Nothobranchius furzeri: one gene and its partner. The protein of the gene in region 2 interacts with the protein of the main gene of each other region in a pairwise test. Links are inferred from orthologs where the notes say so. Each region holds a gene or a part of one and is shown on either strand. Other genes may lie near its edges.

What was found.
Region 1: the proteins of pnrc2 (region 2) and esrrga interact in binary tests that used the Homo sapiens proteins (3 or more experiments, as listed by UniProt). The link is inferred for Nothobranchius furzeri from reciprocal best matches to the Homo sapiens genes PNRC2 and ESRRG.

The regions. Positions count from the first base shown.
Region 1 is NC_091749.1:33,730,808-33,734,459, forward strand, and holds part of esrrga (estrogen-related receptor gamma a), read left to right. Parts: intron 1-2,511; coding exon 2,512-2,640; intron 2,641-3,652. UniProt on the Homo sapiens protein: Orphan receptor that acts as a transcription activator in the absence of bound ligand. Binds specifically to an estrogen response element and activates reporter genes controlled by estrogen response elements.
Region 2 is NC_091745.1:69,954,697-69,958,856, forward strand, and holds pnrc2 (proline-rich nuclear receptor coactivator 2), read right to left. Parts: upstream 2,608-4,160; 5' UTR 2,420-2,607; intron 1,963-2,419; 5' UTR 1,744-1,962; intron 1,544-1,743; 5' UTR 1,524-1,543; coding exon 1,059-1,523; 3' UTR 518-1,058; downstream 1-517. UniProt on the Homo sapiens protein: Involved in nonsense-mediated mRNA decay (NMD) by acting as a bridge between the mRNA decapping complex and the NMD machinery. May act by targeting the NMD machinery to the P-body and recruiting the decapping machinery to aberrant mRNAs.

The sequences.
Region 1 (3,652 bases), on a different chromosome or scaffold from region 2:
AGGAATTAGTGGTATGTGTGTGCCTGGTGTGCTTTTTCATGTGTGTGTGTCGCCGCATGGAGGAAGTGGCTCTGGCAGCTGCTGTTTCTGTGGCGTCAGTCCAGCGACACCTGACAACCTGCATCTATCACTACCTTATTGAGAAAGAGGGATAAAGGGAGAAGTGGAGGAGGGCAAAGTGTGGGGCAATGAAACGGAAAGAAGGAGACAACAAGAGAGAGGGAGGGGAAATAAAGGGCAGCAAAACAGATGCAGATGGGAAGATTTTGCATCGTAGTTCATCTCTATCTTCTGTTTCATTTTATTTCTATTTCTAGTTAAAATTCACATATTAAAATCCATGGTGCCAACAATAAAAATGTTGTGAACACATGAAAGGACAAAAGAAAGATGGTACAACAATGGTCGGTCAGGATACAATTCACACGACACTGTGTGTACAAGGGAGGTCAATTATGATGCAGTGTGTGGACAACACACACACACACACACAAACACACACACACACTTCCAAAGAGATTGCAGAGGATTTAGGAGCCTCCTATACATCCTTCATTCACACAAACACACCTCAAAAACATTTGTTGTTCAGCTTGTGTCACAGACTTTAGAAATGCACACACACACACACACACACACACACACACACACACACACACACACACACACACACACACACACACACACACACACACACGCGGATGTTTAAAATTCAGATGTGAAACACACAAATATTATTTCTGACACCATTTCTAAGTTTTAAAAATAATATTTTTATCATGTTACACAGTAGCAAACCACTTTTATTCCAGTGGGGAAACAACACATTGCATTTAACCTACATGCATATAGCTCCGAAGTGGTTCTTTATTTTCAACAAGCAAGGCTCGCCTGCTCCTCTGAAATAGCAAGGCCTTTTACGGAGTGCCCATTAAGCCAGGCAGATTCCATGTCATTAGCACATTTAGCCTTACTGCAAGTGAAGTGTCCCACTTAACAGCAGAATTAATCTGGTCCTCCTGTATCATCAGCGTAGAAGTGCTGGGTGCGAGCCTAACCAGTCCCATTAGTAGCATATATTAAAATGTAAGAGTTCCTTCAGCGTTTAGCATGTTTAGCCTTTAACTAACAAGGCCAATTATTGGGTGTCTTTTAACCCATTAGGATGTGTTTGAGCATTTAGCCTTTTCCCAAGCTAACTAGCGCCTTAATCAGCCCAGTAATGGGAAAACATCCTCTCTACAGCTGCAGTCAATAGTAATCACTGTTTACTCTGTTTCAGTGGGAGATGAATCAGCTCGGTGGGGTGCTGTAGCTGTCAGTTGGGCGCGAGAGGAAGAGAAGCATTTCTGTTGGTTTAATATTAAAGCACAGCTATGATGGTAAAGAAACCCTTTCTGAACAGTCAGGCTGAGGAAGTTTCACCTGCACCACAAATTCACCAAAAGGTTTGGCAACTAGAACATTTTTATAAAGGATTCAGTAAACTATGAGTTTAAAACTAAGATGCTGGTAGAATATTTAACAATGACTAAAGTGTTGCAGTAAAAGAAAAATTTCTAAGAGGAAGTTTTTTTTTAATGGAGACTAAACTAGCTAGACTGAAAGCTGTGAAGCTTGTTAGCAAACAGCAAACCTTACTGTCACACAAATTTAAGCTATGTCCACAGCAACACATCCTTTAAAAAATAACCCAGAGGAAGATTGTTTTAGACCCGTTTCCACTACTGGACCATTCCCGTAATTTTACCAGACCTTCACAGCATGTCTCCCTTTCACCAAGCTAGCTCAAAGGAACACATTCCCGGCCATACCTCCCTCATTTCAGGGACCAAACGAGTACCTGAACTGGGGGATGTTCTCAGAAATGGCCAGGTGGAGTCCCCGCCCAGTTCTTGTGTTTAATTCATTGGTTGCAACTCAGTAGGAAATCATTTTGTCAGATGTCACTGTAACAATCGCCATTTGTCAAATTGGAAAAGTTGCTGGTGAAGCATAATGGAAGTAATTTACATCACACGGTATCTTTCCCAGGTACCATGAAGGGTGATGTAAATGTCTGTGGACTCTATTTGACGTTGATCAGTGACGTCACTCACTGCTGAAATGGTCGTGACATGCTGACGTCCAAGCAAAGTCCTCAAAGGACTGATTTTGTATGGAGACAGAACAGTTGAGCGAACCAAGCCATCGAACATATGTTCCCTGTCACCTTCCTGCCTCCCATAAGTATCCCAGAACTCCTATAGTGGCTGGTTTCAGAACTCTTTTATGCCAACGAAGGACCAACCAATATAGCATAAGGCTAGCTCAGTTTATTGGGTCATATAGATGTGTTTAATAACGTTATTTATTTTGTCTAATCTGTATCAGAACCGGGACTTTATGGGGTTTGTTTGTCTTGCTTCACATTTCTGTTTGAATGCCTTCCTGCCTGTCTGCCTCCTTCTGTATCTATATGAAATGAAACCTGTCCTTGTGTTTTTTTTCCTCCAACATGTCTACATGCAGGGAACATTGAGTACAGCTGTCCAGCCACCAACGAGTGTGAGATCACCAAAAGGAGACGCAAATCGTGCCAGGCGTGCCGCTTTATGAAGTGTCTGACCGTGGGCATGCTGAGAGAGGGTAAGGGAAAAGGTCTCTCCCTTACCTTCTTCTATTACCTTATCATGTTTTTTTTTCTTTTTTATTATTGGTGAAATATATCTGCACCACTGCCAGTCTAAATAGTTTCTGTCATTTAAATGTAGAAAACATAATTCAGGAATGAATAATTTGATTTATTTTATTTTGCTTAGACATGCTGAGGATGAAAACAGCCTCTGACTACATCCTTGTTTTATTTGCCATAAATAAGATAATTTAAGTCCTAAAGTGATACTCAGCAGTCGTTCAGTGGTGTAAACAAACAAACAAACAAACAAGGGGTTTAATTAGCCCGTACAACATTTTGATAAAATACACTCACTCATTTTCACATTCCCTTGTTGCCTTTTGCTTCTTTCTCCCTCTCCTGTCTGCCCACCTCTGACCTTTCTACTCCCACTGCTCTTCCAACGATGAAAAGAGGTAGAGGAGTGGTGAGGGATGAAGAGGAGCATAGACAGAGAGAAGCGGAGATAGGAGGGGGAAGGTGGGAGAAGCCTCGGGGAAAGGGAGGGAAAGACAGAAGGAGAGAAGGAGGGGGGAGATTGATTTATAGGGGCAGAGGAGGGGGACCAAGGGAGGATGAGAGGCAGTGGGAGGATGGTTGAATGAGGCAGAAAGTGTGTGAGAGTGGGGAGAGAAAGGAGAGGAGAGAAGGGTCAAGGTTGTAATTGATGGGAGACCTGCCCTATGCCCCATTCCTTACAGTGGTCAGGGAGCGTGGCTGTGCCGACGCCCTGCCAGGCCTCCCTCCATCCATTGCTGTTTTCATCACTCTCTGCACTTCTCCCACTCTGTATTACTTCGTTCCTTCTGATGCTTCTTTTGTCTGTCATTCGTTCATCGTCCCCTTCAGTCACCACACAAAGTCAACAGTAAAGTACCTGCTGCTATTTGGGAGAAACCGACTGAGTCCGGACTTCAGTACAGCACATTCAGACAGGAAATAACAAACAACCTCAACAGTGCTTATTTTCTGTCCAACTTGCTCTTTGCAATCAAT
Region 2 (4,160 bases):
TCAGACGTGCGCGCACCCAACTGGACCCCGTCGTAAAAACGAGGCCCTCTTCCGCGCGTTGGGAGCTGCGCCACCGTCGTGATGAGGCAGAGACTGAAGGGCAGTAACAGTACTGATCGAAACAGACGAATGTTTAGGGAATGCTAACCCATTCACCGCCGGGGCTGGCAAGAGAAAAGGAGTGGGAATCACGCCAACCACACGGGGGCCGTCAACAAAAAAAAAGCTTTGGTTACCCAGCGCTTCACATATCTTTCAATCACATCAAAAAGGACTTGTACAAAATAATGCTGTGATAGTGTTGCGGACTTCAGGCACACTCAACTCCTATAGTGCGTGTGCGCACAGCGCAATAAAAAAGGGATACAGGAGTTGGTGGTCTGAAGTCCATGTGCTATGGTCTCGTTCAAGCCTTCGAGGTCAGGCTTTCACCGTATCCACCAGCTCACGTTCAATAGAATATCATTTTTCCCTGCAGAACTACAGTTGAGTGCCTTTTTTCGTTCCAAACAAGGTATATATATTAGCTAAGAAAAAGGGGGGGGGCTCTTAAAAAAATGCTACAAACATGAACTCGCTTTAGCACCCGAAACTTTGGAAGTCCCTCCAAAGACTTTAACCTTAAAACCAAAACCAGTGAAGTAGCTCAGCTGCCCACAGAAATGGACCATAAAAGTAATGGATGTCACCTGACCTATAGTTCAACCCCTATTTGGGGGGGAAAAAAGAACACTCAATCTGCTCGGACAGCCAACTCTAAAAAGAACAAAACAAAAAAAAGGTAAAAAGAATCCAGTTTGTCGTCGTTTTACAAAAACTGGCTCCATTTAAGGCATGCCCAACCAACAAGGCAGCAAAGCTGTAATAGCTTAAAAGTCTATTTAAAAGAAATTGACTCAACGTCAATTCACTGCTTTAAATGTCCACGTTTAGCTACGGATGATGTCTGTTAAAACGTTAAGTGTATTACAGCTTTGAGGCATTCCTGGTGAGCAAATGCCTCAACAGAGTCACAGTCTAAGCATTGGCTCTAGTTAGGTGAAGTGTGTGTACTCAGCTCAAGCCTGCACCTTCAGCAGGTTTTTGAGCTCGAAGGCCATCATCTCCCTGTGGTCACAGGACGCTATAGGGAAAGACACCCAGTGACTCGGGGGTTTGGGCAACACGCTAGGTGAGGGGGGCTCACTGAACTTAGGGCCTGCATAGCTCGGGCTGCCCTGGGTTGACAGGAGCGTGTTAAGATGAGACACTGCACCCTCCCAGCTTTCGTAGTTGGTGGCAAACCGGACAGAAGCATTCTTCTCCAAGGACATGGCCTGCCATGCCTCTGGAGATCTGTGGTAGGCAGGGCCTTTGTCGCTCCGACGGTGGCTGTGGTGGTGAAGGGCCCCCGTTCCTCCTACAGATGCTGCTGTGGTTCCGTTCTGGTCACGGCTTCTCTGCTTAGCCTTGCCAAGCTGATGGGCTTTTTTGGGGCGATCCGGGTGGGAAATTGGAATGTTGTACCTCTCTCCACCTCCCATGTTTCACTACTACCTGTCACCTGCAAGACAATTATAAAACGTTACCATTTTCGTTTTTAAAATAAAAGTTATTGCGTAAAAGGCACTCTGCACTGCACCCTCCACAAAAAAACAAGCTGCTGCAGCAGCTACGTGCAGGAGCTGCAGACGTCCAGGGCTGCGCTGCCCCTCCCCCACACACAACCCAGAGCAAAAACACCCCCAGCCAGGCAGCTCTCACCTCTTTGTTGTGAGAGAGTGGACGTGGCTGAGATCCCTCTTTAATCTTTCACCTCCGATCGGTCCCCAGGTCCTCGAAGTAGCTCTCTGTCTACTTCTCGCTGCACTTAGAAGTCCAGCAAGGTCTGAAGTTTTCATGTGCCAATGAGCGTTGTTTTCCCGTGAAGCCGAGCTGAACATCAATTCACCTCGGCGCACGATGCTCCAAGAAGTCGAGAGCCTTAAAAATGCGTGAAAAGGCGTTTTTTAGATGCGCAAACTAGCGACAATAATATACAAAACAAAAGCTACGCACGTCTTTATTATGTAACAAGGCATTAATTAGCTGTAACAATGGTGTACGCCACAATGCGTCATGACAAAGACAAAAACAACACCCCGTCGTCTTATTTCTAACTTCTCAGGGTTTATTGATATAAAAATGAACAAATAAACACAAAATAGCATAAAAACGCATTTAGTATTAATCATTGTTCCAACCACTTACGATGAATTTGATTAATAAAGTTCGATGAAAATATGGCAAGTCGCACTTTAGTTAACTAATTTCACATTTACAAACGCTAGAAACACAAATCAAACGGCTACCCAATCCGTATCGCTGTATTTTGCCACATAACCAAAACAAAAGAAACGGAACTCAACATGGCGACGAGACTCAAAACAGCTTCTCTTACCGACTTCCTCAGGCTTGGTTGTTAAAGCCTTTCTTTGAAAATATTTATGTGGTTAGCCTCTGATTTCACTCCGTGGACTGTGTAGGAAGCACAGAAGTCTATGTTTCCTACAAATCCGTCACCCTTTGAGGCTTGTGTGCTGTTACCGGTGGCCGTCGAAACGCCACTTCTCCCTTCCGTTTCTGATTGCAACAAAATGGAATCTTCACCACAGCTATGTAGTCCGTGCTCGCACGGAGCCAACCAATCACGTAGGGAATGCGTTCCGAGCGACCAATTACAGGAGAGGTAAGCGGACGCGCTCGAGCCTGTTGCCAGACTGCTGACGTCAATGGCTGACCCTCCTCCCTCCCATTCCTTTGTTGGAAATGGTTAGGGTATTTCCGGGTATTTCCTAAGAGAAGTGACAAAACAACTCAAAACAATCACTCTCGATGACGAAAATCTCACGTTTACAAGCAAAAGAGCAAGTATGAAGTGTCCCTGTGGTACATAAAACACCGTATATTAGCTTCAAGTCGACAGCGCAATCGTGTTTTGTTATGCAACAAGATAAATACAACAACCTTTCAGATTTAACTGTTTTTCTGAAACAGAATGCCACTGTTTGTTTGTTTTTTTGCGTTTTGTGGGTTGAATCTGTTCTTCAGCTCTGACCAGTTGCAACAGGATGTAATAACCATAACACAAGACATAAACCAGTGACTGTAGAAAACTATGACACCACCCATCCCCCAACGTTGGCTCAAGTTACAATTATTTCACCAAAACTCTTTTTCAGATTCTCAATCCAGGTTTGATTAAGAGTGCTATAACAGCCACCTGAATGTTTTAAAAAAAAGTGTTTTGGAATAAATAAATAAATAAATAAATAAATAAATAAATAAATAAATAAATAAATAAATAAATAAATAAATAATACGGTTGAGAGAGCTGCAGCATTGCAAAATTACATTTTTGGCAAGGGAATGGACAAAAAAAAGCCTACAATAGCCATGAAGTATCAGTAAGAAATGTCACATACTTTTTTGAAATAAAAGAAAATGGCAAAGATTTTTGCATGTAGCCTATATTTGAGTTGGTTCGATGTAAGTTTGACTTAAAGAGACAATAGCTATGTTTACATGGGGACAAGTAATCGGAATGAATGCCCTATAAGATCAAAGATTATTCACGTAAACATGTCAATTGGAATATTCTGATCCGATACAGCTCATTTGGAATGAAATTCCATTGAGATAGGTGATTTTGTCCAATCAACACTCCAATTGACGTCCATGTACACTCATTTGGATTCTTGGGGTAATGCCCACTGAGCATGTGTGCAACTTTGGCGTGACATTTTTCCGCTTCTGCAGACGCTCAGGACAAGTCAAAAACATGACAGGAGGCGAACAGAAGTTATCCTGCTCCCCTCTTCTGTGGAGGAAATGGTGTTACGTACCGCTGAGCCTAGCTTAGTTAAAGTGATAGGTAAAATCTAAAGCATCGGATAATTTCAGTTAGTGTCCATGTAAACAGAGATTTGGGATTTCTGAACAACCAAAATTTGAATTGGATGGGGGAAATTTGGCGCATGTAAATGTAGCTAATGGGTTGTTCTTGCCGTTAATCTCTGGAAATATCCCTTTAAACATTATTGAAAATTAATAAAATGATGTCCAGTTGTTGAAAAATGTTAGCGGCATGGTACCATATAACCATAAAAATCGGGTATATAGGGTGCAGGTCGTCTTTGGGG